4 linked regions of the Drosophila melanogaster genome follow. The protein of the gene in region 3 interacts with the protein of the main gene of each other region in a pairwise test. Each region holds a gene or a part of one and is shown on either strand. Other genes may lie near its edges. The genes, in order: Cpsf5, CG13458, e(r) and SkpB.

Evidence for each region.
Region 1: the proteins of e(r) (region 3) and Cpsf5 interact in a two-hybrid assay, tested with the Drosophila melanogaster proteins (one large-scale study listed by BioGRID).
Region 2: the proteins of e(r) (region 3) and CG13458 interact in a two-hybrid assay, tested with the Drosophila melanogaster proteins (one large-scale study listed by BioGRID).
Region 4: the proteins of e(r) (region 3) and SkpB interact in a two-hybrid assay, tested with the Drosophila melanogaster proteins (one large-scale study listed by BioGRID).

The regions. Positions count from the first base shown.
Region 1 is NT_037436.4:9,405,620-9,414,335, forward strand, and holds Cpsf5 (cleavage and polyadenylation specific factor 5), read left to right. Parts: upstream 1-5,418; 5' UTR 5,419-5,656; coding exon 5,657-5,802; intron 5,803-5,859; coding exon 5,860-6,124; intron 6,125-6,197; coding exon 6,198-6,363; intron 6,364-6,535; coding exon of another isoform or gene 6,536-6,570; exon of another isoform or gene 6,571-7,583; coding exon 7,584-7,698; intron 7,699-7,771; coding exon 7,772-7,793; 3' UTR 7,794-8,216; downstream 8,217-8,716. Other genes in the region: Cpr67B (cuticular protein 67B), read left to right, coding at 1-420; CG4022 (uncharacterized protein), read right to left, coding at 2,594-3,572, 3,644-3,813, 3,901-4,347; Atat (alpha-tubulin acetylase), read right to left, coding at 8,627-8,716.
Region 2 is NT_037436.4:15,109,730-15,118,552, forward strand, and holds CG13458 (uncharacterized protein), read left to right. Parts: upstream 1-3,827; 5' UTR 3,828-4,040; coding exon 4,041-4,554; intron 4,555-4,614; coding exon 4,615-4,772; intron 4,773-5,093; coding exon 5,094-5,238; intron 5,239-5,309; coding exon 5,310-5,717; intron 5,718-5,777; coding exon 5,778-6,054; intron 6,055-6,114; coding exon 6,115-6,221; intron 6,222-6,278; coding exon 6,279-6,574; 3' UTR 6,575-6,644; downstream 6,645-8,823. Other genes in the region: Ctps (CTP synthase), read left to right, coding at 1,087-1,257, 1,358-1,859, 1,924-2,968; CG45071 (uncharacterized protein), read left to right, coding at 1-800; Cep135 (centrosomal protein 135kDa), read left to right, coding at 7,132-7,230, 7,292-7,366, 7,745-7,871, 7,932-8,084, 8,182-8,823.
Region 3 is NC_004354.4:8,902,555-8,910,686, reverse strand, and holds e(r) (enhancer of rudimentary), read left to right. Parts: upstream 1-4,438; 5' UTR 4,439-4,578; intron 4,579-4,696; exon of another isoform or gene 4,697-4,918; intron 4,919-5,098; exon of another isoform or gene 5,099-5,182; intron 5,183-5,302; 5' UTR 5,303-5,308; coding exon 5,309-5,623; 3' UTR 5,624-6,543; downstream 6,544-8,132. Other genes in the region: Rbm13 (RNA-binding motif protein 13), read right to left, coding at 7,330-7,485, 7,876-8,132.
Region 4 is NT_033778.4:12,136,549-12,143,181, reverse strand, and holds SkpB (SKP1-related B), read left to right. Parts: upstream 1-2,952; 5' UTR 2,953-3,197; intron 3,198-3,255; 5' UTR 3,256-3,257; coding exon 3,258-3,743; 3' UTR 3,744-3,887; downstream 3,888-6,633. Other genes in the region: Smyd4-4 (SET and MYND domain containing, class 4, member 4), read right to left, coding at 342-675, 788-1,911, 1,968-2,231; CG18343 (uncharacterized protein), read right to left, coding at 4,025-4,324.

The sequences.
Region 1 (8,716 bases), on a different chromosome or scaffold from region 3:
TCGTACAAGTATGTCCAACCACATGGCCGTGACTTTGTGGCCAACTATTATGCTGATAAGACCGGTTTCCATGTGGAGGACAATCGTCCGGCACACCTTAAACTGCCGGCCACTAAGACTCCGGCTGTCCTCAAGGCCGAGGAGGAGCACTTCAAGCTGTGGGGTGAGCTGGCCGCCGCCGCTGGCCACAATCCCGATCCTTATGCCGCCGAGTACCAGCAGGAGGGTCGCTACCAGCCCACTGAGCCCGAGTACCAGCCCTACGTGCACGAGGAGCCGCCATATGTGCCCGGACCCGAGGAGACCGGCGAGCCCAAGGGCTTCTTCTACGCCTTCGACTACAATGTCCCCCTGTTGCGCAACAAGGAGGAGCGTGCCGAGCTCGAACGCCTGCGTGCCATCAACAACAAGGATGAGTAAGATTCAGATATTGATCTAGATCCTTATGGATTTGGTGGATCCATCGCATCGCCTTGTATAGGTCGTTCTGTAGAAAGTAGCTAAGACATTTTCACATATTTATTGAAATCCTTCGCAAAATAAATAGCAAACTTTAAATACACTTTTGTCAAATACGATCTTTTATTATTACATACATATACATATAAAAATGTGTGTTTTTCTGTTTTGTTGGCTTTTCATCCGCTAGTGTGTGCTTTTTGTTTGTTGTAGACATTTTTCCGGGCTGCTCCGGAAAACTCTAGATATTTCCAAGGAAACATTATTGCATCTCTCTGAGTTCGTGAGTTTTCCAGATTTCCACCCTTTTGCTGTTACTAGCCACACACGCATTTTTATCATTATAATTTTCTTGTCGTGTCACTCTCTTTTCAAGTAAAATTATTGCTTTTTGCTCTTCGCTTAGAAGACTTGGGTCTTAAACTAATTTAATTTGTAATTGTAGTGTTATGTTTGTTGCTTTTTTGTTGTTGTTGTTGTTGTTGGGTTCGTGCTATAATTTAATACTAATTTTACACGAGCATTTCTCATTTACAACCAGTTAAAAACTAGTATATATACTTTAGGGTTTTCGGTACTCGTTTCAACTCACAATTAAGGAAACTCTGGGCTTAATCTTAATACCAATTGGATGAAATCAATTTTGATTAATTCACATACACGCTTCCTGTATGGCACCTATATAAAAAAATATAATGAACTAAAAACAAAAAGAAAAGTTCTTTTTGTTAGGATTCTCCGCTTACATGCGGTTTTTTCCAGCAAACAAAATTATATTTTATTCGGTATACGTTGTGTGTGTGTTTTCGAGTTCTTCAATTAAATTCTTCGATGTGGAAACAAAATTAGATTTTCGATGGAATCACAATTGAAATTTCGTTTTTTTCTTTTATGGAAATCTGTAGCTAACTTTATATACAAAGTCATTACATGTATATACTTTTCATATGGCAGCTTTGTTCAGTCCGATATTGCAGTTGAAACTATTTGTTTTACCATTTTTCACTGGTGTTTCCCGAATATTTATTCGATTTCTAGTGGTTTTTTACTCTCTATAATATATGATTCGTGAATGGTTTCGTTTGAAGTTGAGGGATTGGGATTGGAATTGGGTTAGCACAAACAATAAACACAGTAAAAGTTAAAAATTCCAACAGTAGTATTACACAATTACAACACAACAAGCACGAACGGAAAATAAATAGAATGAAATGTAGTTTCCCCGTTTCGGTATCCAAAAGGGGAAACTAAAAGTTAAACTTTAAAATATAAATCATAATAGCGACATTGCGGATCTGTATACTGTTTTCGCATTCGGCTATACTAAGGTACATAAGTTAGTCGTGGCACTAAAGAGCCGGCTTTAAAACTCCCTCCGCTGTTTTCACTGCCCCTCAACTTCAAAGCGTGGAGATCAATCGATCCAGGGTTAGGGTTCTTGGATCTGCGAAGTTTCTTAATACTTTTGCACGGATATGGATATGGATATGGATGGATGGATGGATGGATGGATGGATGGATGGATGAATCGATGGGCAAATGCCTGGTGGGTGTATGGTTCACGATGAGATGATGTGACAATTTGGGAATGGAGCTAGTAGTTAGTCTGGTAAGTTCATTTGGCGCATGAGTTTCATTCGACGATTATGTTTTTAAATACATTTATTCTCGTGTTTATCAACTGGTTCTTGCTAGGTTCTTGTCGCTCTCTCGGGCTTGTTGTATATAAGGCAAACTGTATGCGAATCATACATATATTGAACTATGTAAATACGTTTATCATTCTGTCAGTTAAATGCCGGGGAAGATCCTGGGAGAAGCGCTGTCGTCTATAAATGTCTATGAGCTGGAGCATGGCACAACTGTTAGTTCATCTAGTCCTGGTTCTGAGTGGCTATCCAAAAAATTGACCAACGGTGTAAAAACGGGTGTGTGAATGCTTGTATATATATCTGTATATATAAATCTTGTATATGCTACACGACTCTATCCACGACTCTAAGCCCTAAGTGCTGACACAGTGACACTGTTCACTGGTAGAGTGCCGCCTCCTCTGGCTCTCTATCGTCCTAACTTCCCACTTACCTACGAGATTTTATTTATTTTTTTTTTGTGTGTAAATTCAGGATTATCTCTACTTGGCCGCCGCTGCCGCTGCTGTGGCATTGGCCGGCGAAACTTTCAGCTTGATGAACATGCTATTGTCGCCATTGGTGCCGCTGTTCAAGTCCAGCTTCTGCACCTCGCACTCCAGATTGTTGATGCAGTTCTTCTCGTACTGCGTTGTTCCGTTGTCCGAGGCGGCGGCTTTTTCTGTCGGCTGTTCACTGGGCGCCACCTTCTTCTCTTTGCTCTTTTTCAGCGCATTCAGCAGGGTCTTCTCTTTGCTCTTGCCCTCCTTGTGACTATTGTCCTTGTCCTTGTGCTTGTTGTTCTTGAAGCGCGGGAAGATGCAGCCGTTGGGCAGGAAGCCGCCCAGTTTCTCCTTCTTTGCGGGAGCAGCAGGTGGAGGAGTTGCTGTAACGACGGGAGCAACAACGGGAGTTGGAGTTGGACTGGGCGATGATGTGGCTGTGGCTGTTACTGTGGGTGTTGCGTGGCTGGGTGTGGGAGTGCTAGCACCATTTGTGGCTGCCGGTGGTGCAACCTTTACTTCTGGTTCGTTCTCCACTGCCACCGGCTGATTGTCCAGCACAGTTGTTGATCCATTCAGCGAGCTGCCTGCATCCGTTTGATCCACGCAAGCATCCTCCGAAACTGGCGATTGCTCCTGCTGCTCACCCTGCTCGCTGGCCACTTTGTTGTCCAGCTGCTGGGCAAACACGGCCAGGGTGATGCCATTGCCATTGCCATTTCCCTGCTCTACCAGCAGCGGCTCAGACAAGTGAGCCGGCGGCGAGCTGGCCTCGTTCACTGCAGCACCAGCACTAGCTGCCCGCGATGCATCCGGCGATTTGGGAAACATCTGTTGCGTGGTGATGTTCTGGTAGTGCTGCTGCTGGCGCTGCTGCATCATCTGCTCCTCCCTCTCGCGATCGCGCTGCGCCTGAACGGCATTCCAGACATCCTTCAGCTCGCCGGAGATATCGCGATCCTTGAGTATTACGGCGTTTCTGGAGATGTATTACATATATTTTTATTCTTGTTTTTAATCGGGCAGTAAACTAATAGTGTTATTATATACCTGACTAATTTCACGCCTGGATTCATAGCCTCCACAAAGTCGCACATCAGCTCCACCATAGCTCGTCGCTCCTCAGGATCTTTGCTGTGACGTCCGGAGTCTTTGAGCACCTCCGGATTGGCCATTACGGCAAAGACAATGGGAGGACTGCGTGGGCTGCCAGGCGGTACCTTAATGAATAAGAACATTAACATAAATAACTAATAAAGGAAACACCGACGTGAATGTTTGAGGACACTTAATCTAAGGAATCTTACCCGCATGCCTCCGTAAAGGGGAATGGGATCGCTGGGCTCCTGCGGTATCACAATGCGCGTCCAGCTGAGGACATTGATGAAGAGCTCCTCGCCCGCCTCCGTGGTGGTGCGGATGCACATGTGGGGCTGTGGCGGATTCTTGAAGTGGCGATAGGCCCGCGAATGTCGGTAGCTGTGCGGCGGCGGTGAGGAGTTCATCAGACTGAGGCCGAGTCCTGTGATGCCATTGTTGCTATTGCCCTCGAGTTCCTGCTGCTGCTGCGGATCCTGGTGCATCTGAAGCTGGGTTTCCGTATCTAAATTATTGTTGTAGCTATTTGTTGTGGTTGCATTTGCATTGATGGCAGTGTTTGTATTTATCTCCTCGCTTTGTGATTGATTTTGTTGTTGTTGCTGGGATTGTTGCTCCTGGGCTGAAGCCTCCGCCTCGAGTTCGGCCGCAGACATGGTTTTGGATTTTATATAACTATTCGGCAGTCTTTAGTTTAATCAGTTTCAATAAGATATCCTTTTGTTTCTCATTCGTTCACTGGGATACGTTTGAATTCGCCATGCGGCGAGTGTGTCGTGCGGCGAATTCGTTAGCCGTGTTTTTCGTCCTCTTTGTTCTACCACGCACTCACACCAAAACACCAGCTCTCTCGCTCTCGCTTACAGGTCGCCTTCATACAACATTATTATTGCTCCTTGGATCCTGGCTGCGTGCCTAACCTGTGACCTTTGGCGTAATTAATGGACTTGCCTGCATATTAGGGCCTACGGCGTATTATACCCCACACAGTTGACACTAATATCCTCCAGAAATTCAAAGTCTTTTTATCTGGCACGCACACGAATGCAAAACACCCTTCTGCCTTCCTACACACGCACAAGTGGGAGTTGGTTGACTACGGGGGAGGTGGGTGAAGAAGAGAAGAGAAGACAAGGTGAAAACATGAAAATGGAAAAGTTCAAAGCGTTTGCGGTGCCACACTTACACATTTCACTGATTTTCATTTATAATAATCACTTTTCCATTGCACCATGCACACAAAAACACACACAAACAAACGGGCGCAGTTACATACTTATGTATATATGTATATATACACACACGATGCGTTTTCCTGACTCGCACTCACATAATTTCCCATTAGAATGGGCAAACAATGCAGGCAGCGGAACGTGTGTGCTGCGCTGATTTTTATATTTAGCTTTTTAGCAGCTTTTCATGGCAGACGGACACACGGAAAACAGCCGATTTTTCCGACAACCCAACATAAACAAAAAACTAATGGGTCAGTGTGGCCAGATGGGGTTGCTGCGCAATTTCAGAGCGTTGCCATTAGACAAGAAACACCAGGGCTGTCGTTACATATGTAAACAAACAATAATTTAAAACTGCATTTAAAAATAAAACAAAAAATTGAATAAATCTTTAATAAATATTAAGCAAAAGGTCATTACAAGTTTATTTCACACAAAGTACGAAATCGATTAATTCCATAATCTAGTTCAACGAACCAGTTCTGCTCATCATCAATCAATTCACGTGCAGCCCTCGTCCAGCCGGTTAATTTTTTTGCACAAGCGCTGGACAGAAAAGTGTAATTAAGCGGCTTAAAACGGGTTTACATTTATAGTATAACTTGTAAATAAACAGTTAAGGATTATAATATTATTGGAATACAAGTTTCCAACGCACAACCAAAGGATTTGGTAGAAAGTCGGCCAGCTTGTCCCGCAAATTTTCCCACAGGGGTGTGTGTATAACAAAATGGCGTCCTCGCAAGTCTCAAACAAATCGGGCTCCGGTTGGCCGCGCCGCGGAAGCCAAGGCCAAGCGGATGCAGCCAGCAGCAATAACAACGGTACCCAGAAGTACACCAACCAGGCGCTAACCATCAATCGCACCATCAACTTGTGGGTACAACACATTTCATTCATAGACGCACATCATAGATCGATCGATTGTTTCAGATACCCCCTTACGAACTACACATTCGGCACCAAGGAGCCGCTCTTTGAGAAGGATCCGTCGGTGCCATCCCGATTCCAGCGGATGCGCGAGGAATTCGACCGGATCGGAATGCGGCGCTCCGTCGAGGGAGTGCTTCTGGTCCACGAGCACGGACTGCCACATGTCTTGCTCCTGCAGCTGGGCACCACGTTCTTCAAATTGCCCGGTGGCGAGCTAAACGCCGGCGAGGATGAGGTCGAGGGCCTCAAGAGATTGCTATCCGAGGTAAGTCAAACGTGGCGCCATAGTTAAATATTGTTATTTGATCTTAACTATCACTACTTTTATTATTTCGTAGACGCTGGGTCGTCAGGACGGCGTAAAGCAGGAGTGGATTGTTGAGGACACGATTGGGAACTGGTGGCGGCCGAACTTTGAGCCACCGCAATATCCATACATTCCGCCGCACATCACCAAGCCCAAGGAGCACAAGCGGCTTTTCCTCGTCCAGCTACATGAAAAGGGTAAATATCCGCAGGGCGTTTTGTAAGTCCCTACGCGTAGGTATAACGAGCACACCGTGTATCCAGAATATCCATCTCTCCATGTACTTTATATAACCTATAGATTGTTTTTGTTTGCCAAAAACCGAATACGCTAACAAACCTCATGTCATATCTTTTCAATGCTGTTTAGATACGGACGGGAACGCCAGTTACGATGTACCCTGAGCAGTTCCATTAGCGCCGTGTGTGTCGTATCTACCCAACTCTAATCTCAAGAGTGCAATGCCATAGAACAACAAATCGAGCAAACAGAACAGATCAAACAGAAAAGAAACAAACAGATCGCAAAAGCTGGCGCAGGCGACTCCTTAGTTAGTTTTGATTCTAGTCCAATTGTACAACATGTCGAAAATCAAATTCAAATTGTATTTTTGCTCAGGACTGAGTGTTGGCATATTTTGTTATTTCCCGATTTTTATCATTCGAAATTCAAAGATTGTTCTTGTACTTAATTTTGTAAATATGTCGACATACTTGTGAGACTGAGCGCAGCAATGTTATCCTTCTATTTACATATTTTATTTATTTCCTAGCTTCTATTCTTACTTTTGTGAAGTGTCATGTGTCGTTCATCTTAAGGTTGTTGTGTATTTATCGAAAGCAATCCAATCCATCGGGCAGGCAGCAGAAGAGCATTGTAACGTTGCTGGCTGTCGCAGTCATGTGCCCAAATCTCGCGTGTTTTGCAGATTTGCACGCATGCTGGGCAGTCAGGTCGCAAGTCGCTCCTTAAATTAAGCACTCGTTTATGTAAACACAAGCAAATACTGTTTATACCTTTTTTGGCCCTTACGCATTCGCTGTGCGCTGAAATGAACTGATGTTGTCCACCAGCTGAAGCATTTCAGCGCACAATTCGAACCGCACTTATCATGTATAATGTTGCTCTAAATTGAAATTATGTTCATAACTGATATTAGGAGACATCGCTGGGCCAGCAAAGTGCCGGTCATGCTTTGCAAGTCGCAGCGAATCCAATTAATTAGTCTAACGTAACCAACTATGAATGTAAAACGAAACGCATACGACTCTTTATATCATACGGCTGCGAAATGATTCTTAATATGTAAATTGTACAACCGATTGTAATATCCCTAGATGATATATCCTGTGAATTTCAATGTTCGTTGATATCTCTACATACATGAATTCTGTCTCTATCGTTTTCCGTAATCTAGCACTATTTGCTGTACCCAAAAATTATAAGCTTGTTGCTGCGCCATTATTCGAGCTATACGACAACTCGCAAGGATATGGACCCATTATCTCATCTCTGCCGCAGGCCCTCTGCAGGTAAGTTCGTAACGCATATCGAAGTTTATAGATTGCCGCCCCACTTACATATACATACGCTTCCTCACTGCAGATTCAACTTTATCTACATGTAAGGGCAGACGGAGGAGGGGCCCACGTCCAGCAATAGTTAAGCATCAACAGCAGCAGCAGCAGCACCAACGATAGCGCTACCTAACTGATTTCAGCACCACAGATCAGCCCGTAGATTTCCATTTCATGTGTGTGTGTAAACGTACATAATTGTATTGCAGATAAAATGGAAAGCCAGTCTCTTTCACTTGGCAAATAGAGTCGACAAAATTTTGTGCTTTATTTGTATATCTTCATCTTTAATATCTATTTGCATTTTGGGGGTTTTGTTCTATCAACTAAATGTTAGACAATGTTTAAGAAATTTTAAGTATGGTTATGAAGATGCATTCTGGCCAACTGGCGCTATCCCTATAGCATGTACTCGGCATAGATTTGTTCGAAATATTCTCGTTTTCTGTAATTGGAAGATACACACGGGCTGGATAACATTAAGGGCTATTGCAAATTCACAGTACAAAGCGAAATTATTAATAAAGGATCTTTTCAACCAAAGACGAGTATGTGTTGTAAAATTATCTAGCTCAGTACCGGCGGCAATTAATCTACGTATATTTCAATTTGCTATTGTTAACGTTTAATTGTGAGGCTCTAGTTTAGTTTACGGATGCTCTTCGGTGTGCGTGGCTTGTAACAAATGAACAAATCAACAAAAGTCGGAGAAGAAGCTCACAACGAAATCATCGAACTGAAGTACAGGAACCGTTTGGTGTGTTATTTTGATTAGACAATACAATCTTACAGACTAGATTAGATTTTTGTTTAATTATGCTTATGCCACACGTACAAAAGATGTTAGCAAATATTGCGTGCCTTCTGGTTTGTGACTTCGACTTCACCACAACTTATTGTGATAGAACTTTAGATCGTAGTAGCCCTGATCGGTGAGGCCGCCGCCGCCGGAGGACACGGTGGACATGGCATC
Region 2 (8,823 bases), on a different chromosome or scaffold from region 3:
AAGCCACCATGGAGGAAACGATGCCCACGCCACCGGCTGCGCATCAAATGAATCAAGTTAGCACCACACCACTGGCCACCGGAGCTTTGCGAGCCCAAGAAGAGGCACATCAGCACGCTTTAATTAAGGCAGGATTACTCCGCGCTCAGTTGATGGAGCTGGAAAAGGAGGCGGAGGACTTGAGCAGAAAGCCACCTCCGCCACAGCAAATGACATCTCCAGTGGCACCCTCACTACAAGTGCTAGTGGAACCACCAGCCGCACACTGTTCTCCACCGCCAATGGTGACCACCACATCCGCACAAGTACAACAACCGGGCTCAGCAGCTGTTCTGGCGCCGGCAACGACCACATCCGCGTCATCTGTATCCTCGAATGGAGCGCCAATGGGCGGCAAGAGATCTGTGTCGCCACCGCCTCTATACAACAAAGCACACCATCCGCTGGCCACTCTGGCAGCAGCACATCTTGCGGCCAAAGACCGAAATGAGGATTTCGGACCCACCTCTGCTGTAGGAGGAAACGGAGATCACCTGAGCTTCACTCAACACTCCTACGCCAATGGACTGATACCCGCCCTTAAGCTGAAGCGCCCGCGTCTCTCCGAGGATAGCAATTTTAATGGTTCCTCGACAATGGACACTCCGCTCGTACCAGAGGACGATGACTACCACTACTTGCTCAGCCTACATCCGTACATGAAGCAGCTGACCGCAGCCCAGAAGCTGCGCATACGCACCAAGATACAAAAGCTCATCTTCAAGGAACTCTACAAAGAAGATCTTGAGGAGTCCAAGTAGTGGAACAGCTCAGAATGCCTAGATTAAGCTCAAGACTGTACATACGCCCACTAGCCTAGATCGTAAGCATTATACTTAGTTCGTGTCCATGCCATGCTATTTGATTGATTTCTAGTTGAGCGCCACTCCAAGGAAAGCTGGGAGTGCGCCATTTACGCCTAAGCACAAATACCCTGGAAATAAAAATGTAACATTAAAATGATTTTCAGTTCTTTTCATTTTTACTAAGAAGGGTGGTCCACATTATGCTGAAACCACGAATTAATTGTTATAATTTTTTTCGCAGGCGAGGTTTACGTTTTGGACGATGGCGCCGAGGTGGATCTGGATCTGGGAAACTATGAACGGTTTTTGGATGTTACCCTGCATCGGGACAACAACATAACCACCGGAAAAATTTACAAGTTGGTCATTGAGAAGGAGCGCACTGGCGAGTACTTGGGCAAAACGGTTCAAGGTGAGTGAGCAAACCAGATCATATCCCATTATTATCCTTTATAACTAGAAAACCTTTGAGATTGGGAAGATTGGTTGATTTAACATTCTGTCCCTTGCAGTTGTCCCACACATCACTGATGCCATTCAGGAATGGGTGGAGCGCGTGGCCCAGACACCCGTTCAGGGATCTTCAAAGCCACAGGTGTGCATCGTGGAATTGGGAGGAACGATTGGTGACATCGAAGGCATGCCTTTCGTAGAGGCCTTCCGTCAGTTTCAGTTCCGCGTAAAGAGAGAGAACTTCTGTTTGGCCCATGTGTCGCTGGTTCCGTTGCCAAAGGCTACCGGAGAACCCAAGACCAAGCCCACACAAAGTTCGGTCAGAGAACTGAGAGGATGTGGCCTGAGTCCCGATTTGATTGTCTGCCGATCGGAGAAACCCATTGGACTGGAGGTCAAGGAGAAGATCAGCAACTTTTGTCATGTGGGGCCGGATCAGGTGATATGCATCCACGATTTGAACTCCATTTATCATGTTCCGCTGCTGATGGAGCAGAATGGTGTTATTGAATACCTAAATGAGCGCCTACAGCTTAATATCGACATGAGCAAGAGGACCAAGTAAGTTAAGGTCTATATTTAAACCCTGAAAGTAAGTTAATCACAAATTGTTTGTTATTTTTAGATGCTTGCAGCAATGGCGAGATTTGGCGCGTCGAACGGAGACCGTTCGCCGTGAAGTTTGCATCGCCGTCGTGGGAAAGTACACCAAGTTCACGGATTCGTACGCCTCCGTAGTTAAAGCCCTGCAACATGCCGCCCTGGCAGTGAATCGCAAACTGGAACTGGTCTTTATCGAGTCGTGCCTGCTGGAGGAGGAAACTTTGCATTCTGAGCCGAGCAAGTACCACAAGGAGTGGCAGAAGCTATGCGATAGCCATGGCATCCTAGTCCCCGGTGGATTCGGTTCCCGTGGAATGGAGGGCAAGATTCGTGCATGCCAATGGGCGCGAGAGAATCAAAAGCCATTGCTTGGCATCTGCTTGGGTCTGCAAGCGGCGGTCATTGAATTCGCACGAAATAAACTTGGTCTCAAGGATGCAAACACCACAGAAATCGATCCGAACACAGCTAATGCCTTGGTCATCGATATGCCAGAGCATCACACGGGTCAATTGGGCGGCACTATGCGCTTGGGCAAGCGAATAACTGTTTTCTCTGATGGTCCTAGTGTCATTCGCCAGTTGTATGGCAATCCGAAAAGCGTGCAGGAGCGTCATCGGCATCGTTACGAGGTTAATCCCAAATACGTGCATCTGCTGGAAGAGCAAGGCATGCGATTTGTGGGCACCGACGTCGACAAAACTAGGATGGAAATCATTGAGCTCAGCGGTCATCCCTACTTTGTTGCCACCCAATATCATCCAGAGTACTTGTCGCGGCCTCTGAAGCCGTCGCCTCCTTTCCTCGGCCTGATCCTGGCCTCAGTGGATCGATTGAACCAATATATTCAGCGCGGTTGCCGCCTGTCGCCCCGCCAGCTATCCGACGCATCCTCGGATGAGGAGGACAGTGTTGTGGGCTTGGCCGGAGCAACAAAATCGCTGAGCTCCTTGAAAATTCCCATTACACCCACAAATGGAATATCAAAAAGTTGCAATGGTAGCATAAGCACTTCCGACAGCGAAGGTGCCTGCGGAGGCGTTGATCCTACCAATGGCCATAAGTAAACTAGTGAACGGTATCTTATATCCTAAAGTGTTTAACATCCGATTATCAGACGTACTTTTGTTATCGCAAAACCCCAAAAGTTTGGGATAACTTAAGTATTACTGGGTGGGTATAATACGGTATTTGCGAATTGAAAATTTTGACCTTTTATGAAAGAGGCATTAATAATAAGAAACCCTTTATAATTTCTCCTAAGCTTAAGTAAACTACGATGTTACTTTCCGTACATTTTTAATTTATATGAAAATCTTAATTCATATATATTTTTTGGATGCGAAAAAAAAAATAACTAATGGAACAATTTCAAATGTTTGTGTTTTATTTTGAACTTAGCGGGCAGCAAGAACGGTATTGGAAATAGTGCGTGGAAAGTAAATGTGTGCTATTTCTCTCTTTTCAAATTGGGCGCGAAATTTCGAAATTGGAATTGAAACATGCTAAATAAGCTTATTTGTTTCCGAATTTATGGAAAAATCGCTTTTCAAGATATCCATACCAATTGTTATGATTTTGTTCACACATAAACTATTGGAATACTTTGAAAACAATTGTTGCTTCTATTTTTAACGACAGTTCCATCAATACTTTTTGGCAACTGATACCTTATTAAAAAACTGACTGTTTTTTCTAAATTCTTACAAATATATTAAGGGATTATGTATAATCCCTTTTCTGCCAAGAACTATATTTTTAAAGAGCACCACAGAGTGGACTTCAGTGTAATTTTCTGCTTGTTGACGCAATTAGTTGAGATAGGCAGAGAATTAATCAAACGCTGGTACTCGAGAATAATAATGGACGCTAGCCCATGCGAATTGAGATTCGTATGCGGGATGCGGATTCAGATACCGGCTGGCGTTGTCAGACATCGTCAGGCCCGTGCCCAACAAAAATAGCCAGGGCATACATTTGGGCTTGCGGCCGCGATGAGAAGCGATGGCTAGCGGCCAATTGAATCGAGGCGGACCGCAAGACTCCCAACCAAGAACAATGCGCATTCTTCATTGTTCGTTCAATTGAGCAACGTGCTCTGGCTAATTTTGCACTCGAAATAAGAGAAACGCAGCTAACATGATTCAGTCGGGGGTCCACAAAAAGAAGCCAAGGATTCGGAATCGCCAGCGCAACAAGATCAACCAGGTGCCACAGGATCAAGGGGAATCTCCAGACGCAATTGCGTCTTCACTCAAAAGTAATGGCTCAAAAGCGGCAAATGGTGTAGAAAGTAAACCTCCGGTGGAAAAGCCCTTACTTACAAGTGGAAATTCTCTGCTTGAATCATTATCAAAAATTGGTCAAGTGGAAAATCCGCAAGAGAACGATACAATCCGGCTGATACAGCAACTGTTACGTAGGAAATTATTGGCCAAAAATAGTGCTGTGCCATCCAGCGAAAATAAGCCATCAACTGATCCGGTCAAAATAGTTACCCAACCAAAGGAAATCAAAAGTGAAGAAAAGAAACCAAAGATTTCGAGTACCTCGGTTACTCCAAAACTCAAAACAGAAGCCAAGGCATCTGGAATTTCAAAAGAAGAGGAAATAAATGATCTACTCAAATGCTTGGGCAGCAAACTGCCAAAGGGTAATTAGATAATCATTAGGAAGTATATACAATTCAACATAACTAAAATATGCTTGATAGGATCTGGTGAATCCCCAGCAGCCGCGTTATTCAGCAATCTTGGAAAGCTTTTCAGCCAAGCGCCGCCCAGCGATGTCGAGTCATCCGATGAGGAAGTGGAGGAGTATGTGGAGTACATCTATAAGCCAAGGCAATATTTTATGGCCTCACTGTGCAATGTAGGTAGTATTCATTACAAACTGTGCTTAATTGCTGAAGGGACTATAGTTTAAAACTTCTACATTTGTATACCCTACACTCCTAAAGGAAAAGGGCATAATAGATTCGTTGAAAAGTATGTAACAGGTAAAATGGTTTCTTGCCAGTTTCTATCGATATGCTCATTAATGGTGGCATTCCCGCTAGATGAGTAATGGGTATCTGATAGTCGAGGAAGTTGGCTATAGCGTACTCTCCTATTTCTATATACAAATGTAAAGGGCGCATTAATAAGATTTTTTTACAATTTTATTTTACTAAGCCTTTTATAATACTTGCAGTTCTGCAAGTCGGATCTGTGCGGCCAGAATCGGATACCCTGCTCCCGCTGTGGACTGAGCTACTACTGCAGCAGTGGGCACATGAAAGACGACCAGGAGCACCGCCAGCTGTGCTACGCCCTGCGCCAGACGGTGGACCGCAATGGTGAGTGTCTTTCGGCGATTCACAAATTCATAAATCACACTAATTGCCAATTTTGGATGGGGCGGATGCAGGTCACGAGATGTTCTACAAGTGCGGCGACTTCAGTGACGAACAGTTCCGTTCCTTCCGGATCGTGTGCATTCGCCAGGTGGAGAAGGAGATGAATCGTCAGCTCAGCGCAACGGAGAGAGAGTTGCTCCTATTTCCACTGATCTGCGCCGACTCAAAGTGCCGGGAGCATCGCTTTAAACGTCTATCCATGTGCGGTGGATGTGGCGAGGTGGCTTTCTGCAAGGATAAGCCGGAGCACCGAGGCAAGGAGCACGCCAAGTGGTGTGGAGCCTATCAGATTTTCAAGGCCTTCATCATGTTTCAGGAACAGTTCGGCCGCATGGAGCCATCACTGCCCAGTAAGATTCTTAGAGAGCTGCCCATGGCTTGCTCCAACACCAAGCAGATGATGAAGAAGCTAAGCTTTAGTAAGTAAACACGAAGTATTCAAGGATTTTATTATAATGTATTATTATACTGATTTAAAGATGTTACCAATGAGTGTGAGTACGCAGCACTTACCCAGGTGTCCACTGGCCCATTAACTGCCTGGTTTGCCTTGAAACTTTGCGAGCGCCTCAGAAACTGCGAGGAGATGACTCTTCACTTAATTGGAGCCGAGATCGAATTTGAGGCGGATATGCTGCAGAAATGGGAACTCTTCCTGCTCCACATAACGCCAGCGGTGAAAACTCTGAATGTGGTCTTTGTTGGACCTGAACTTAATCCTAATAATATATCCTTTGAACAGCTAAAGAAAATCAAGTGAGTTACACTTTTAGTTAGTAGTTTAAACATTAGTCTAAAGATTATCAATCTATTTAGATGCTGCCGTTTCTGCAGAAAAGCCCAGAGAACGGTTAACTATCATTTTGAGAATAGTTTATATCACGATTACTGCAGAGAATCGCACTTTCTTCAGCCGAATTTGAGTAAGTTAACACTCATTTAAGCGAAACTAATAATAATTATTATACATAAATTCATAGTTTGCTTCTTTAACTGCGGTCTGTACCGATCAACTGGTTTCGCTCTGGAGGATACTTGGCCAGATACCATTCAAGCTGCACTCAATCTCAACTGCCCCATCGTAGTTACTTCCTATACAAAATACGAGGCCCCTTTGGATATGATTCAATTTATTAACCAATCGAATCGACACTTAAATGTCGTAATGCCGCCAACTGTAAATCCGTTTTCCTCGGAAAAGCCAGAACGTAATTTTATATCAGATAATGAAGCGTCTTTTATGTTTAAGAACTTTTACTGTTTTGTTGTTGATTAATCGCAGTCCACACCTTAGTTTTTTTTTAATAAAAAGACAAATATCGAACAATTCTGATTTGGACAAGGTCAATTATTTAGTAAAGCCTGGTACAATTCTAAAAGTTTAAAAAATTTGTATTATAATTTGGTTTTTTAGACATAGCCATAGACACATGAACAATAATAAAATTATTATATTGAAATATTCGGTAACTTCTTTTCGGTTGCAGTACATACCTGGTAAAATCTATGAATTTTCATAAAAAATATAAAATTTTGTTCAGCTTTTATATTTTATTTTGAATGTAACGTTTTTTCTGGGCAATCGATGTTATTTTTCATACTGATTTCGATACATTTGCGTTCGATAATAAAATACTAAAACAAATTTTCGATTGATTTCCTTGCTGAGGTGTGATGGTCACTTTCGATAACCGATATATTTAAGGAAATATCGGTTGAAGTCCGGTTTTGTTTTGATTTGATTGAATAGCATTGTTTTCATTGCGCATTTTCTGAAATTTAGGGCATTTAGGAGAAAACTTGTGATTTTTTTGCTGTTATTAGTGTTTTCCCATGAATATCAACGATGGTGACTTTAAAGACCTCCGCTGCAAACTGGACATCATGGGTTTCACACAGACGCTGCCCGTTTTGGCCATTCCACTGGTTCAGGTAATATTCATACCCTGTAATATTAATTTTTTGGCATAATCCTGTACCTTTTACATTGCAGGCTGTTTTCGGGGACCTAATCAAGACCACAGAATGTTTGAGGGATACCAAGAAAAAGGTGGCCGAGCTGCTGGAGGTGGGTATACCAGTAGAGAGTACAAGACCTTTGGGTTTTCTCGATTATATATGTGTAACTATAATATTATCACAATTTCTTACTGAAGAGATTCAGGTTGGTGCTGTTAAGATAAAAAAGAATTTGTCAATCTAAATATGATTATAATTGTGAGGATCCCATGAGAAACTTCTTTTCAGTATTCTTATTCTATATACGCCAAATATGCTTCATTTTTAAGGGCAGACTATACAATTCAATTGAATCCCTAAAATTAAGCGTGAAATACTTGCAAGGATATTTACACGTTAGCTTTTTAAGCCCACGTTCTTTCTTATATGTTGTGGTTTTTCAATTGGTTGCTAAGCAATCCTTCTGTTGTGGCTTTCCTTTCGGCAGGAAAAGACCTGTTGGGAGCTGGGCGTCGAACCCTACAAGTGTGACAACTCTCGCCTGCTGGCCGAGTGCAATGAACTGCATCTCCAGTTTTTGAGGGACAGGGAGGACTACGAGCTGCGCCTGTGTGGTATGTTGTAATCGATTTTAATTTGATTTTTAACTCTATTGCTGCCTTAAACTTTTTCAGAGTCCGAGCGAAAGATCCGAAATCTGGAGTTGGACAAGCAGCATTTGCAGAGTCACAACGATGGACTTCAAAGGCAACTGGACGCTTTGCTTACCAAGCAAATGGTTTCATCAGTCACGAACAAAAAGGCGACAGCTGGCATTGGACGTCAGAGTAGGTCTAAGAAAGATATTTAACTAGAATTGGATCTCCCTGAGATACTATCTCTATCTGATTCACGTTGGTTTTATTAAAATGTTCTGCTTTCCAGCCAAAAAACCCTTTATAACCACAGTGCGTTCGGGCATTGCGATGCCAACTACACTGGGCACTAGCAGCAGTGCTCTTAAATGCACAAAATGCAATGCTGGGGTATTCCAGAAGACCACCACAACGACCAAAGACGGTGTGACAGTGACGCAAACCAGTGGACAGGAGGAGTTAGACAAGATGCAGAATGATCTTACGGCAGCCGGAGAACAACTGGAGTTCTTCAAGCGCAAAGTGGAGGCCAGAAATCGGGAGATTCGCCGCTTAAACGACATGCTAGCAGGAGGGCGTCCTTTAGCGGCTTTGGCCAAGGATTGCTGTTACAAGGACGTGGGCGCCCTCTCCCAGGACATCGATCTGTTGCAACGCGAGAAGAGCGATTTAATGATGCAAGTTCGAGAATTCCAGGACAAGATGCACGATGCTATGCAGCGGGCTCTAAGCTCCGAAGAGGATAAAATAAAGCTCCAAACGCAGCTGGAGGAGCTCAAGGAAGCTGCGTTGCAAGTGGAACAGCAGGCCAATGCGGAAATCGATGCCAAGGAATCGGAACTTAGGCAACTGCAGTTGGAGCTTAAGAAGAAGGGAAAGGATCACCGACTGACCGGTGGCTTTGCTTCCAATCAAAGTGACAAGCATAATC
Region 3 (8,132 bases):
CCAGAAACGTGTGTTTGCTGATGAATTGCTTTTCGCGGAGCATGTGGACGACGGTCATTGCCAAGGGCGTGATACTTTTGCCGGCAACTGTGACGAAAACAGCGGCAATTAAAAAATAAAAGGAAAAATACGAAATATTTATGTATTGTACATACGTATATAAAAAAAAAACCAAAAAAAAGGTGTCAACTCAGACAACCTTCAATGGCACACAATAAAAATCGGCGACCAAAGAAACCAGAAAACAATTGGCCAAAAAAAAAACCAAGCGGAAGAAACGAGAAAATCAAATTCAATCTCAATGGCAACGAATTTGTGATGCTCTTTAAAATGAATGGTATAAATACATGTGTTCTTTAACGTATATTATTACCTTATTAATAACTAGAATATTAACTCTATTTATCTGTCAGTTAGCAATTTGTAGTTCGCAGAAAAAAAACTCTCAAAAACCTATTGCTAAATGCTCTAAACCTTTAAAAAAAAACCCAACATTTTCGCACTAAAAAAAACTTTAAAACTTTAATGTACACTGATTCCTATCAGTTGAATGCCCGTTTCGTTATAAAGTTTTTTTTTTATGTTGGGCCAAAAGGCAACGACCAAGTCGACGAGTTTTTTTTCGAGGCGGCAAATTCGTAATGCAGAATAAATAACGCATAAATACAAATCCACGATAACAGCCAAATGCGGTAGCACGACAAAATAAAACAATAATCATAGCCCAGTAGAAATGCGAAACAATTACGCCAAATGTGGAGAAACCAAAAAACGAGCAAGAAAAAAAAACAGTCGTAAAACGTAGCAGCAAAAAAAAAACAACAGAACTAGAACTCTGTAGACTAACAGATACTCCTTGTTCTGTTCAACCTGGCTGGTTTGTAAGAATACAAATTTTTTTGGATTTTTTTGTGTAACAAAACTTGCAAAAAGAGCACAAAATTTAAACAAAATTACCAAATTTAAAACCAAATCGTTTGGCATTTAAAAAACAAGTTTAAGTTTCATTTCATTATTTCGAGTGCTCAAAATACTGATTATTTTTTACACAAAAAATAGGGAAAACAATTTTTGGCCAAAATTCATATTTACGATTGGTTTTTTCTGTATAACTTGGCTTAAAATTGGCAGAGAGCCAAAAGAACTACCGTTTTTTACTCCTAATTGACAATACTAACTATCCATATCCGTTTTTTACGGACTTTGTAAAATTAATTTTTGACCAAAATTTCGCATTTTTTGTAAGGGGTAACATCATAAAAAATGAAAAAAATTGAAAAAATTTACATTTCCAACTTTTGAATACAGTTCGATTAAAAATTTAAATACAAACTCAGCGATGTATGGCATTCCATAATCAGACAAATATTTTTCAAGTTGTGGCCAAAAAAATAGATATTTTATGACAAAAAATAGTAAAAACGGGTTTTGTCAAAAATTGAAATATTTTTGATTGGCATTTTAATCATAACTTGGCTAAAAATGATCATAAAGCTGAAAGAATAACTGTTTTGGGCAGCTAATTACCAATGCCAAACAGCCCTATCACTTTTTGACGTATTTGAAAAAATTAATTTTTTAAGAAATTTTCGCATTTTTTGTAAGGGGTAACATCATCAAAATTTGGAAAAAAATTGAAAAAATTAAAATTCCAATTTTTGAACACAGTTTAATTGGAAATTTAATTACGAGCTCAACGAGGTATGACATTCCATATTAAAAGCAATTAAACCAATGGAATTGTACAGATATACAGATTTAAGAATGATTGTTTAAAACATGAGTGCTGTTTAACTGTCATTATAAATATGAAACTATCTGGTTGTTAAAAAATTTATATTTCTCATCCGGGTAGTGGGAAATTAGCGACGCACCTTAAAACAAATAACAATACGCCTACAAAGTCGTTTATAATAGATACACAGCTTTTGCACACTTTTGACGATAAAAACGATGATGTTTCAAACACATCAGGGGCGCCCACGTTCTTATCAGTTGAGAATGTTCTTTACTTATCGGCGCCGTAAAGCAAACACTTTTCAAAAACGAGCGTTAAACAAGACAAATTATTACAGATGCTTAGATGCGATAATTGTAACCTAATTGTGATTAATTGTAACTAAATGATTAAAATTAAAATAAAAATCACAGTTTGAATGCACAAAATTGAAATAAAGTCGATTTCTCCATTTACAAAAACTTGATATCTCCATTTGGAAATTCTAATTGGTTTGCTCTCCTGCCTTTTCTGCTTCCACTCTCTCTCTCACTTCCAATTGGAATTGGGGACTAACGAAATGGAATCAAGTTCAAGGCCACGATCGATTGATTGCCATCTCTGTCGCACTTGTTGGATGTGACTCACCTGCTGATTGGAATGAAGCTGCGCTGCTCCTCCTCTGCCGGCGTTGCCTCCTCATCGACGTTGGCAGAGGCAGCGACCTCTGACGTCACGGGGCGGTAAATCAAAGGCTTCACGTTGCGTTCGAAATCGTCGAGGAAAACGACATCGTGGACGGGAATAATGCGGTGATCGGTGACGTTGAAGTGGAGATCGCGAAAGGGGCCGTTGAAGAGGCAGCGCAACGGTGACGTCACCAGCACAGCATCTTCCGGAGGTAACTGTAAAAAATGTACAATATTTGTTGTATTTTAACGTATATCAAACATTTACTGATATAGTTTTATATTAAATCAAATACACCGCAACAAATCTCGTGCAAACATCAGATAAGATATTGATACGATACGATAATTAGTATAATATTTAAACAATGCGCAGTCAGGAGAAATATAGAATGGCTTATCAATTTTAAAATAAAACTAACGGAAACAGTAATATTGTACATATTTCAGTTTCAACTCAAAGCATAAGTTTCTCTGTAGCCAAGACACCATTTGGTAAGTTAAGAAAACTATTAAGTGGACGTTTTTTTTTTTACCTTGATTTTGCCATTGGTCGCCGAGAACATTGAGATTTCGAGATTTCAGCGATAAGAGATGAGCAACAACACAAATCAAATAGAATGCACAAGAAACACAGATACAACACCCACACATGAATGATCGTGCAACGGTGTGCGCAGAACAGTGAAGAGGAAGCAGAGAGACGAAGCAGAGGCGACAAATTGGACACGCGTGCGTCGCGTTGGTTGGATTTTGTGTTTTCTTATTTGACTATTGCCTTTTCGGTGCTACTTTAACGGGTTTCCCCGTTTCACAGCCTTTATCATCTTATTTTCGCAGGGCTTTTTTGCTTTTCAATTTACTGCCTGGGTTTCATTTAACTTCGCTGCTCTTCTACTTCATTCATTATTTGATTTGTTTACGTTGCTATTTCCCAATTTGTTTGCTTCTTTTCACTTCATTTTCTTTCAATTAGGACGCACACAAACACACAGGAAAAAACAAAAAAAAAAAAAGAGAGACACGAACGCCACTTGCACAATTGAAAATAACAACAAATTAATGGGAACGCGCGAAACACGGGCTGCTGCGGCTGCGCCTTCACTTTTCACTAAAACAAAAAGCACGTAAATAATGTTGAGACGAGATTTTGCTTTTTGTTGTTGATTTCTTTGCCGATCGCTCTGCCGCCGCTCGACTGCGCTGCCCGCGACACCGCGCTCTTCCAATTGGTCCAATTGAGATCAAACAGCTGGTGGGCACTCGGATCTTCGATTGCCGCTGTCTGGCAGCACTGGGAACAGTGAGAACAGTGGCCAGACTGCGGAGCTGGCGATGGGCGATAGTTTTGTTTCATTAAAAGTAACTTTTGACTTTATATTAAATACAATACTAAAAAATGTAAAAATATGCTTTTTAATATGCACTTTAAGTGAAAATGATTGTACATTAAGTTTACTTCATAAAGACTTTAATGACCATAATTTGTTGATGGGCGTTAATTTTATTCTAACTTAAATAAACGTAATACCTAATATTTATATGTAATAACAAAATAAAATGAACCTAAATAAATAATGCAATCCACTTTAATTTGACATTATAATTATAATTTTTTTATAAATATATAAAATAAAAATAATAAATAAATAATTTCCGTAGTTATTGTAATGTATTACTATGATGAGTATATGTTAAAAGCTTTAGTTAATTTTATTTAAAAAATCTGAAGACTAAATATGGAATGAATTACGCCAAATGAAATGAAAATATGCATTGAAAAACATGCTTTATACCTAAAGGCGTAATATACATAAAGTGTGCTTTTCAATAAAAAAGTGAATGAACATAATATGGAATCAAATACATATACAAATTGAAATGCAAGTATACATTGATACAATTAAGTATAAAAAATCACAATTGTCATTTAATTTGGTAAATATTATTAAACAATGTATATCAAATAAAAGATGTTAGTATTAATCGATATCTTTCGATTATTTTGTCACGGCGAGGCACGCAGCGAAGCGCTCATCTCTAGCTTCAGCCTCCTCTTCAAAACCCATAGAACTGGCAAAATAAAAAAAAACGAATCAAGCGCTGATTTTACCGAATCTCTTTACTGAATCAGCATATTATCATAGTCCATATAGTCCGGCGTTCGAACGGGTAAGTTGAACACTAAACGGGAGACATGGGAATTATTTAAAATTCGAGAAAAATCGGTGAAAAGGAAGAAAAACAAGTGATTGCATACAGTTAGTTACACACACGCGGCGGCCGTTACTCCTTGTACATGTGTGTGCGTGTCTGTTCGCGCTTCCGAATGTTTGTGTTTTAGTGAAGCGGCATAAGCGTGCATTATCTTGTACAAATGTACGCATTTCTCCATTGCCAACATTCGCTTCACACACAAATTACTCGTTTTCCATGCTGGAAGTGCCATCTTAGTCTATTTCCCAGTTGCAAATTGGAAAATCAAAGAGCGTTCTGCTGGCCAGCATGTGTGGTGCGCGTGTATTGGTGTTGCGGCGAGAGCGCGAGCGAGATGGGGCGATGCGTTGCATGCGGCAACAGCATATCTCTTCCATCTCTTTCGTTTTTGTTCTTTTCCTTTTTTTTTTGTCTTTTTTTTTTTTGCTGACAGCTCTCTATGCTTCTAATAAATATTTATGCACAATTTTTGCAGAGCTGGCGAAGTAAACTTCAACTTCGAGAGTCTCGGAATCTTTCGGACTTTGCTATAGAAAAAACGCTTGTTAAAAAAAAGGATGTAAGTGATGAAGATGAAACGTAATGTAATGAAACGCACACTAGTAACATACATACATACATATCGCTTGAGTACATAGATCACCGCCAATAACATTAATGTTCCATTTTTGCCTTGCAGATCACCATGTCGCACACCATCCTATTGGTACAGCCGGGTGCTCGTCCGGAGACCCGCACTTACTGTGACTACGAGAGCGTCAACGAGTGCATGGAGGGCGTGTGCAAGATCTACGAGGAGCACCTGAAGCGCCGCAATCCAAACACTCCGACCATTACGTATGACATTAGCCAGCTATTCGATTTCATCGACACAATGGTGGACATTAGCTGCATGGTTTACCAGAAGAGCACCAATACCTATGCGCCCTACAATAAGGATTGGATCAAGGAGAAGATCTATGTGCTGCTCCGTCAGGCGGCATTTAGTTCCAATACCTAAAGGGACGGCGATGCGACAAGATACATACATATAAAACCAAATAACACGATGATGCATGCATCAATGCGTGCAACACTAACGACAACAACACGTTGATGTATGCAACAATGCGTGCAATAGCAACTACAACAACAACAACAATACGAGGATACATGCAACAGCGCTTGGAACAGCATCCGCAACGGCCACAACACCATAACACCAATAACACCAACAAGATGAGGAAGAAGAAGAAGATGATGATGGAGTGGTGGGGCATCGATTCCATTGGAGACTTGCTGCTACCGACTAGATCGCCAAATGACAGCAACTTTTTTTTGCAACATAACGCAATGCAAAAAAGGAAAAGGAACACAAAGAGAACGATAAACTGTATAACTTAGAAATGGAAAACTTACTTTAAACGTACTAATATATATATATATATATAAATATATATATAGGCGTATATATATATATATACTGTATATACACCCAACTGACAACTGTGTGTGTTTTTGTGTGTTTCAATGTTTTTTTGTGCGGCAGCCACAGGTGACGGTTGTTCTTATCGATAGCGAACTGTATGTTTGTTTGTTTGTAAAACCGAATGGCAAATTTGCAAGTGTGCATTTTTTTTTTGTATGTTTTGCCGTGTGTGCTAGCTTAAGTCTTTGCAATCTATCGAATAATAAACTAACACATCAGGACACACTGAGCATATATAAACATATTTGTAAACTACTGATTCCCCCCCCCCCCCTTTATCATTTGAACTTAGTTAAACAACAACTTTTAGCCCGCTGATTTTGCACACCGATGGGCTTTGTGGCGTTTTAACGGCTTGTTTTAAGCAAAACAGAACCTTTGGTCGCAGATGCGAAATGACCTTGAGATGCTGGTTGTTGTGTGTGTGGTGAGGGGGGAGGGGTAGGGGTTTGTGGGTTGTACCCCCGCCAGATATTCAATCGGATAACGAACTTGGACCGCCGCTGAATCGCTTGGCCGCACTGCATTGAACTTGGCGTGCGATATTTAATTAGCTCCGCGACAGCATTTTGTTAAATATATATATATATATATATATATATGTATATATGCACATTTAGTGTCGACTTGTGGATGCTGCTTACTAGCGTTAACTAGCAATAAACATAGTGTTTATAGTTTACCCATTATATTTGCTGAATATTAATGATCACTAGATTTCTCATTATTCAGACAAATATATTTGTTTGTGAAAAAAGCATTTGCTACAGCAAACTGTACAGTTTATTACAAAAATATGTATATATATTTTCAAAAAAAAAAAAAAAAGAATTTCTCCTATTTAAAGTAGTTTGCTTGCCACGCAACTCCGCGCTTTTTACAGGGTATGCAATAGCGCTACAGCTGCGTCGAATATGGTGCATAGTTTTTTTTTTTAGAATATTTTTCAAAACTGGTTTTAAACACTGCATTGTCGCCACACCGCCCCGCACCGCCCACTTTCAATGTCAGTTAGCCAGCCTCGCTTTTTGGCCAGAAAGCAAAGCGAATGGGATGCAGATGAAGTGCATCCTGCATGAGATGCATTTTTCGGTCATATAGTGTTGCACTTGTCTAGTTTTGTTTTTTTTTCTTTCTTTTTTATGTAAAATACTATTCTTAACCGGCTAAACAATAAGCGTTAACAGCTAAGTGGATTGAGCATGGGGGGGGGGGAGAAATATATATTGTGGACCTGGCTAATGGCGCATCTGCCGCTGTGCCTCCTTCTCCACCTCATACTCGTACTCCAGCTGCAGTTTGGGCTTCGAGCGGCTGCGTCGACTGTTGCCCGCCGGCGATTTCTTGTCCTTCTTCGCTTTGCTGGCGGTTTTCTTGGCTGGCACTTTGGTCTCCTGTTAGAATGCAATTGTTCGTTTTAAGTTCGGTTTGGCAATTGGAATTTAGTTTTGTTTCGTTTTAGTTTTCTTTTTTTTGGCAATTTTCTGGAGCTGTTAGTTAGCGCGCACTGAATGGAAACCGACGCAACTGAATGAAAAGCGGCGAACGGCGCTCGGAAAGCTTTATTCTCCAAGCTCCAAGCGGGCAGAACTCGTTTGCTATTTCTAATTATGGTAATTTCGGAAGAAGGTGGCAGGATTTAAGCAATTGCCAACTATTTACATACTCAGAATTTTCAATATTAAAAGAAATTCATTGAAAAAGGATTTGGAAATCGTTAAATGCTCCAGAAAACTGCCAACAAAATAAAAAAGAAAAGCCTGATACATGACCAGAAACACTACCTCAATATCATCTGCATCCGCATCGTCATCCTCGTCGGACTCCTCGAAATCGCTGCCCACCTCGACCTCTTCCCGCTTGCCGGAATCGCTGTCGTAGTCGTCCTCGTCATCATCATCATCATCATCATCATCCTCCTCCTCATCGTCCGTATCTGCCTCGACGAACTCCTCGTCGAGCAGGGATCTCTGTACTTCCTCAGCTTCGCGTGAATCGTCGCCGTCCACCTCCATTTCGCGCTCCAGCTGCTCCTCATTCT
Region 4 (6,633 bases), on a different chromosome or scaffold from region 3:
ATTGTTGTGAAATGTGTGGTGGGTGTGCTGGGCGTTGTGTGGGTGTGCTGGGCGTTGTGTGGGTGTGCTGGGCGTTGTGTGGGTGTGGTGTGCGGGCTTGGTGCGGGGTAAAACATAATCAAAGGTCGAAAATGTACAATTACAAATATAAAAGTTAAGGGCATGCTCCCTCCCCATCGCGCTGCTGCCTGCGCTACAGACTTATGGCAACAACATGTATGTATAATCAATTACTCTCCTTGATTTGTGTCTCGCTTGTAATACGCTGTCTCCAGTTAAAGTTAGCAAAGGAAAAGTTCGTCCGTGTTGGTTGTGTGGGTTGGTTCAGCGGCAGGATCCGATTACATCTTCGCCTTGAGCGGCACTGCGTCCGCCATGATATGCAGGGCCATCTTTAGGCACTCCTCCGCGGAGCTAATCTGCTCGCACGGATAGTCGTCACCGTATTGCGTGAGGAAGTCGCAGTACTTTCGATAGTTGCTCACCGCGAAATCATAGTTGTAGGAGCTCAGTGCCAATTCCGTGTCATCGGTAACCGATGGCACCGTCGCCTTGTGCGGCATCATTCCGAACATAGGATAGTTCAGCTCGCAGCCCTCGCATTTGCAGTCGAAGCGGTACTGCAGGGACAGCCTTTTCAAACGCTGCTCCTTGCTGCAGATGGCGAAGTGAGCACTAAAAAGTTGGATATCTATTAGTTTTAGTATTTGAAGAGAGCTGCAGTGACTTGGACCCCTATTAGCTTGAACTAAAGTGGTGTGGTCAGAATGCTTTGGTTACTACTTACCCGTAATTGTCGTAGAGCACATTTCCCGCCTTAATAGGCCGCAGGACGAACATGTACGCCTTGGTGCCCTCGTATATCCTTACAGTATTCGGCGCACAAGAGTGATTTATGAGCGAGAGGAAGGCGTACGCCCCAGACGAGTGCGTCTGGTCGTCCTTGGTCTCGTTAACCTGCTCGACCAGGTCGATGCCGTGCATATTCGAGGGAGATGTCTGCAGATGTCGGAACAGGAGGTCCGTGAAGAAGTTCACGCCTTCTTCGCCGCCCAAATATTCCTTGACGGGTGTGTATTCGATTATGAAGTGCTTGAGCACAGCACAGACCACGGAGCGCTGGAAGAGATCGGAGACGGAGCGCAGGTGCTGGTTTGTCACCAGTCCATGGATGGCCCGGTAGTGCTCCTCCGGCGTCAGCTCGTTGTAGTTGAGGTCAAAGGCGCACTTGTCCTGGTTCTGCTCCTGCTCACAGAAGTCAATTAGCTCCTCGATGCTGGGAAAGATATTCAGCGCGACCAGTGTGGTGCGCAGTGCGATACAGTGGATCTTGTTGAACATGCGGTTCAGAAAGTCAATGATGGGGCACTCGTAGCGGTGATAGGTTTGCATGGCAATCGACTTGCACTCCTCGGAGCAGAACATCGTGGAACAGCAGCTGTCGCAGGGTATGAGGGTCAGATAGTTCTCCCGCTTGCAGGTGGCACACCGAATGTATCGCATCGGCGTCAGCAGTGTGGAGCAGAAGGGCTCCTCCACGGACACAAGATCCCCAACGGCCAAATCCCGATTGGTCACCACAAAGCGACCCTCGGCGGCGGTTTCGCGCAACTCCAAACAGTCGGCGATGAAGGGCACCTGGGCATGCGGTTCGAAACTGAGCTTGAACTCATAGGGCACCACATCCGGCGGTTGCTGATCGAGTAGCTGTTGGCAGTCCCTTTCTCGCTTGTCTAGTTTGTGGCTCAGTCTCGCCGGATAGTTGGCCTGCCTTGCCAGCTTGATATTGTCCAGGCATTGCCGATAGCGCTTCCACTCGAATAGTACCGCCGACCGATTAGCATAGCCGATGGACAGGTGCTCCGAATTCGGTTCGGCATAACAGATGCTTTTGTTGTACAGCTCTAGAGCCTGAAACGAGTCGCAGGGATTAGCTTAAGTTTGCCGATTGAGGGGGCAATGATTACCTGGAAGTAATTCCTGTTCTTGAGCGAAAACTGCTCGTTGCCCAGCATACGGAACTCCACGCTCCGCTTGTTGCACTTGTCCTCTCGAAGCGTTACATTCAGGAATATCTTTTCAATGTACTTGAAGTCAATAAGAGCGCGCATCACGAAGTCAACCTTGCGATGGTTCTCCTTCAGCTCGTTGAACTTGCCGGATATGATGCCGATTAGTTTCCAGTCCTGCAGCTTCTTTATCAGATCATCGCTCACGTCGTACACGTCCATCTCTTGTGCGGGGTAGTTTCGGAAGTCCTTAGTGTCCTGGAATTTTCTCCGGATCGGATTAGATCTGATCGGATGGCTTCGGATCCTTTGGTTCGGTCCGCGTGTCGACGCCGCCGCCTGTTTTTTTCAGCCGGAAAAAATGTTCTTTTGGCCCACTGCCGGTGCCGCGATTTCTTTAACTGGCGCAAGTGCTGACCGCTAATTAGCGATTTCACGGGCGATTACTATTCGGAAATATTCTAATTATGCACACGGCGATTTTAATGTTATTTTTTTGACGATTCCGCTGGAAGCAGTGTGGAGTATAGCCTGCGAATATATAACCCAGCACAGAGGGAAATGTACTAAAAAATGCCGCAAGTTGACTGCTTGCACTAGCCGCGACACAAACCCTTGGCCTAGCTTAAAATTGTTTACAAAAATATTTGAAATTTGAAATTCATTAAATAAAAACAGGATAAAAACTAACTATAAAGGCAGAATTTTGTAGGTTTCTGTTTAAATAATACAACGCCCAGCACGCTTGAATTGTGCCAAAATATATATGTTTAAAAAAAATATATATATATACATTATAAAAAAATATAACTGAGCTTTTGTTTACCGCTAGCTGTCACAGTGTCTCCACACCATTAACTGTAATAGGCGCCATCTTTTAAAGCCATTCCGAGTATGTGCACACTGGCGGCCGTTTCACTAACAAATTTCCTCTTCAAATCGTACGACGTTCTAGTTTTCTAAGAATCCGGGGAATTATTGGCAGCCAAGTTCTTTATTTAACAAACGCTCTGTTCTCAGGCGGCCGCCGCACCAGTCCGGTTCAAGTTGAAGGCAAGGGAATATTATTTTTAGCCAGTAGGCCACAGCTAAGTGACATCGTGTTGTGTCTAAAAATTTTGTTTGGCTGCGTCTGCAAATAAATCAAACCGATTTCGTATCAAATCTTGGGATCCAAATCAGCAGGAGGTGTGTACGAATAAAATTGAAAATATAGATATAAGCAAAAATAAAAATTTTTACGCAGAGATGCCCATCATTCGGCTGGAGTCTGCGGACAAGGAGATCTTTGACACGGATCAGGAGATCGCCAAGTGCTCGGAAACGATTCGCATTGCAATAGAGGATTTGGGCGATGAGAGCGACAACAGTGTGCTGCCGTTGCCGAATGTCAACTCGCTGATCCTGAAGAAAGTGCTCCACTGGGCCACCTATCACAAGGACGATCCTGTGGTTACCGAAGAGGTTGAGAACAAGGAGAAGCGCACTGATGACATCTCATCCTGGGACGCTGACTTTCTCAAAGTCGACCAGGGCACGCTGTTCGAACTGATCCTCGCGGCAAACTACCTGAATATCCAGGGTCTGCTCGACGTCACCTGCAAGACGGTGGCCAATATGATCAAGGGCAAGTCGCCGCAGGCTATTCGCGACACCTTCGCCATCCAGAATGACTTTCTGCCACAGGAGGAGGAACAGGTGCGCAAGGAGAACGAGTGGTGTGAGGATAAATGAATACCATCAACTTACCATGACGAAATTAAAGCTTAAATTTTTTGTTTAATCAACATTTCAATTGAGATAGTTAGCTGATCATGTTAAGAGTCAGCAATTGTTCTGTTGGGTTAATTAAATAAAATATTATGCTTTAATGTTGGCAAGTGCTCTTTAACAAAGGAATTAATGACAAACCGTTTAATGTAATTTACAGTGTTCTTCAATTTGGAATTTATATTTGATTTAGTTAATGTAGTTTAAAGGCCGTGGTCCCGATGGCATTCGCCAGATTGGTCACTTCACCCGGAATAGCTAACAGATGTGATGTCGACGGAGCCCAAAGCTAGCAGCAATCGGATGACGAAGAGGGCGATAACCACTTTGAGGACGATTCGCACGCAGGACAGCAACAGTCGGAAGCCGAAAAGTATTGCGTAGCACGTAGCCCCCAGGAACACCACGTATGTGATCAGATCGCCCAGAACAGAGTACATGGACGCGTTCCTGTAGACACATTCAAGGAACTGCGTGCCGCATTGTTCGCCATGTCCCCAGCCGTATTGCTCCCGTCCGTTGCCAATACTGCAGCTTTTCTCCATGTTTAGACTGACGTATATGCTGGATAAGCCGACAAATGGGACATTTCCTTTGTCCAGTGTGCAAAGCAAATCTTCCAGTTGGAAAAAATCAGCTGTCTAGTGTGACCGCATTTCGATCGTAGTGGCAGCACTGCATTTTTTCAAAACATCGAGGTATGAGAAATGGATAGAATTTTTATAAACGTTACTCGTAGAGTAAAAGGTATACTAGATTCGTTGAAAATTATGTATCAGGCAGAAGGAAGCGTTTCCGACCATAAAAAGTATATATATTCTTGATCAGGATCAATAGCCGAGTACGCCTGTCTGTCCGTCCGTATAAATGTCGGGATCTCAGAAACAATAGATCCTAGAGAGTTGAGATTAAGATTGAGATTAAAACGGAGTAAATCGAAACGGAGTAAAGTCCTGACTCAAATATCTCTAACTTCTAGCGGCTCTAAATTGGGTCTTGACTAACTGTCGATAGCCCCAAACAGGTCCGCGACAAAGATGAAGTCTAAAGCCTTTATAAGTAAGAGGTATGTGATAGTCTACGGTTTTTAATGTTCGGCGATTGTGTAGTACATCACAAAAAAATTAATTATAGCTACGAAAACATAAAAAATACATAATTGGTTTTATTAAATATGCAAAACTTTTTGTTTACAACCTATAAGTGTTTAATGCTTGGCATCGGCAGGAAGTCCAAAATATTCTAAAAATAGCTTGTACCTTTCAATTTTTAAATAAGTTCTAAAATAAACCGCACTTTATCAATAAATGCTGTTTCACTTATCACAACCAGAACCAAGAGCGTTTGATTAAATTTATGAAAAGTTTTTAAATTAGCAGCATTAGCAACCGCACAGCTAATTATTGCAATTAATGTCACTAATAAAATACAGCTTAAACAATAATGTATGAAGTATAGGTGTTTTTTCAAATTGTGGTTTGTTCTCTGGATAACGTGCATTTAAATTGGAGTACTAAGACAAACTGCTATGCCGCACTGATGGTTCCATTCTCGAGTTATCAAAGTGGCCAAACCCATTTTTTTTTTCAAACTACAGTGTCTTAAAGCTAACCTGGCCATAATTGTAATGGCGACCTTTAAACTTCAACGCTGTGCATTGAACTGGCTGAAAATTTGTTAAATCCCAGGGATTCCCCAGGGAATGGCTGCCGTGCAAAACGATACCTGAAACTGATGCTTCAAAAATGAAAAAGAATACAATCACGACAGGCGAACGAGCAATTTTATTTTTCTTAGAGCTCATTCGGTTCAACGTACTGCGTCTACTATTCGCCGGCAAAATTAAAATTAAATAGCAGTCAAGTCGCCCACCCAGCTTACAAATGTGAATAAATGGCGCAAAGTAGGGTCTTTTATGTATATTTGTACTTATTACTTACAGACAGTGGGTGTGAAACCATGAGAGCAGCTAGACCTAAAATGCTTTAGATCATAGCGATTTTACCAAAAATTCAGTTTCCCTATTCTTTCTGTCAACCTGTTATTAGCCATGCTCTTTGCCACGCAGCTTTTCCGCCGCAAACTATATGAAAAAGTGGACACTGGACAAAGGACGTAGGCGGAAAGTGCAAACAGATGTCCAACTGGGCTGCAACTGCACTCTGGACTAGAAACGAAACTTCAGGGAACTGAACTCGACTTGATGCAACTGACAGCCTGACTTTGACACAAAGCCCAGGAGGACGGGCTCTAGGGCTATAAATAAGGCACGACCCCACGACCATGTGACCATGTGGTGACAGTGATGCCAACGCACTATATAATTCATTGGGTTGCACAGTTCCAAGTTGAAAAGACAGCTAATAAGTTAATTAACAGCACTGGATGATAGAGGTCACCCTGTAGTAAAGTATGCAAGATAAACCGTTTGTTTTGATCTTGAATTTTGGAAAGATCAAGAAGCTTACACACTGTGCGCAAGCTTAAGATCTTTTAAAAATGTGTTGAAAAGCAGACTGGGCCAATTGGCTTTGCTTAAAATCGCACGTCTTAAGAAGAACTTCATTTATAGTTTCTTTGTTTGGAAAGAACTGTAAATTTTTGTGCCATTTTGGAAACAGTGATAACCACCATCTGTAGAGCATCCAAGTGGCCATCTCCGTTTGCTGGCCCAAGCCAGTTGGTCTGATTCTGTGTGTCCGAGGGTGTTGTAAGTGCAACAACTGTGTCACGCCTTGTTTCTGTGGACGACAAAGTGTAGAATAGTGTGCATGAAATACAAAATATTTCATTCCGACTGTGACGGGAAGGGATGGCCACAATCTGCTAGAGCCAGCTTGTTATTATTTCTGGC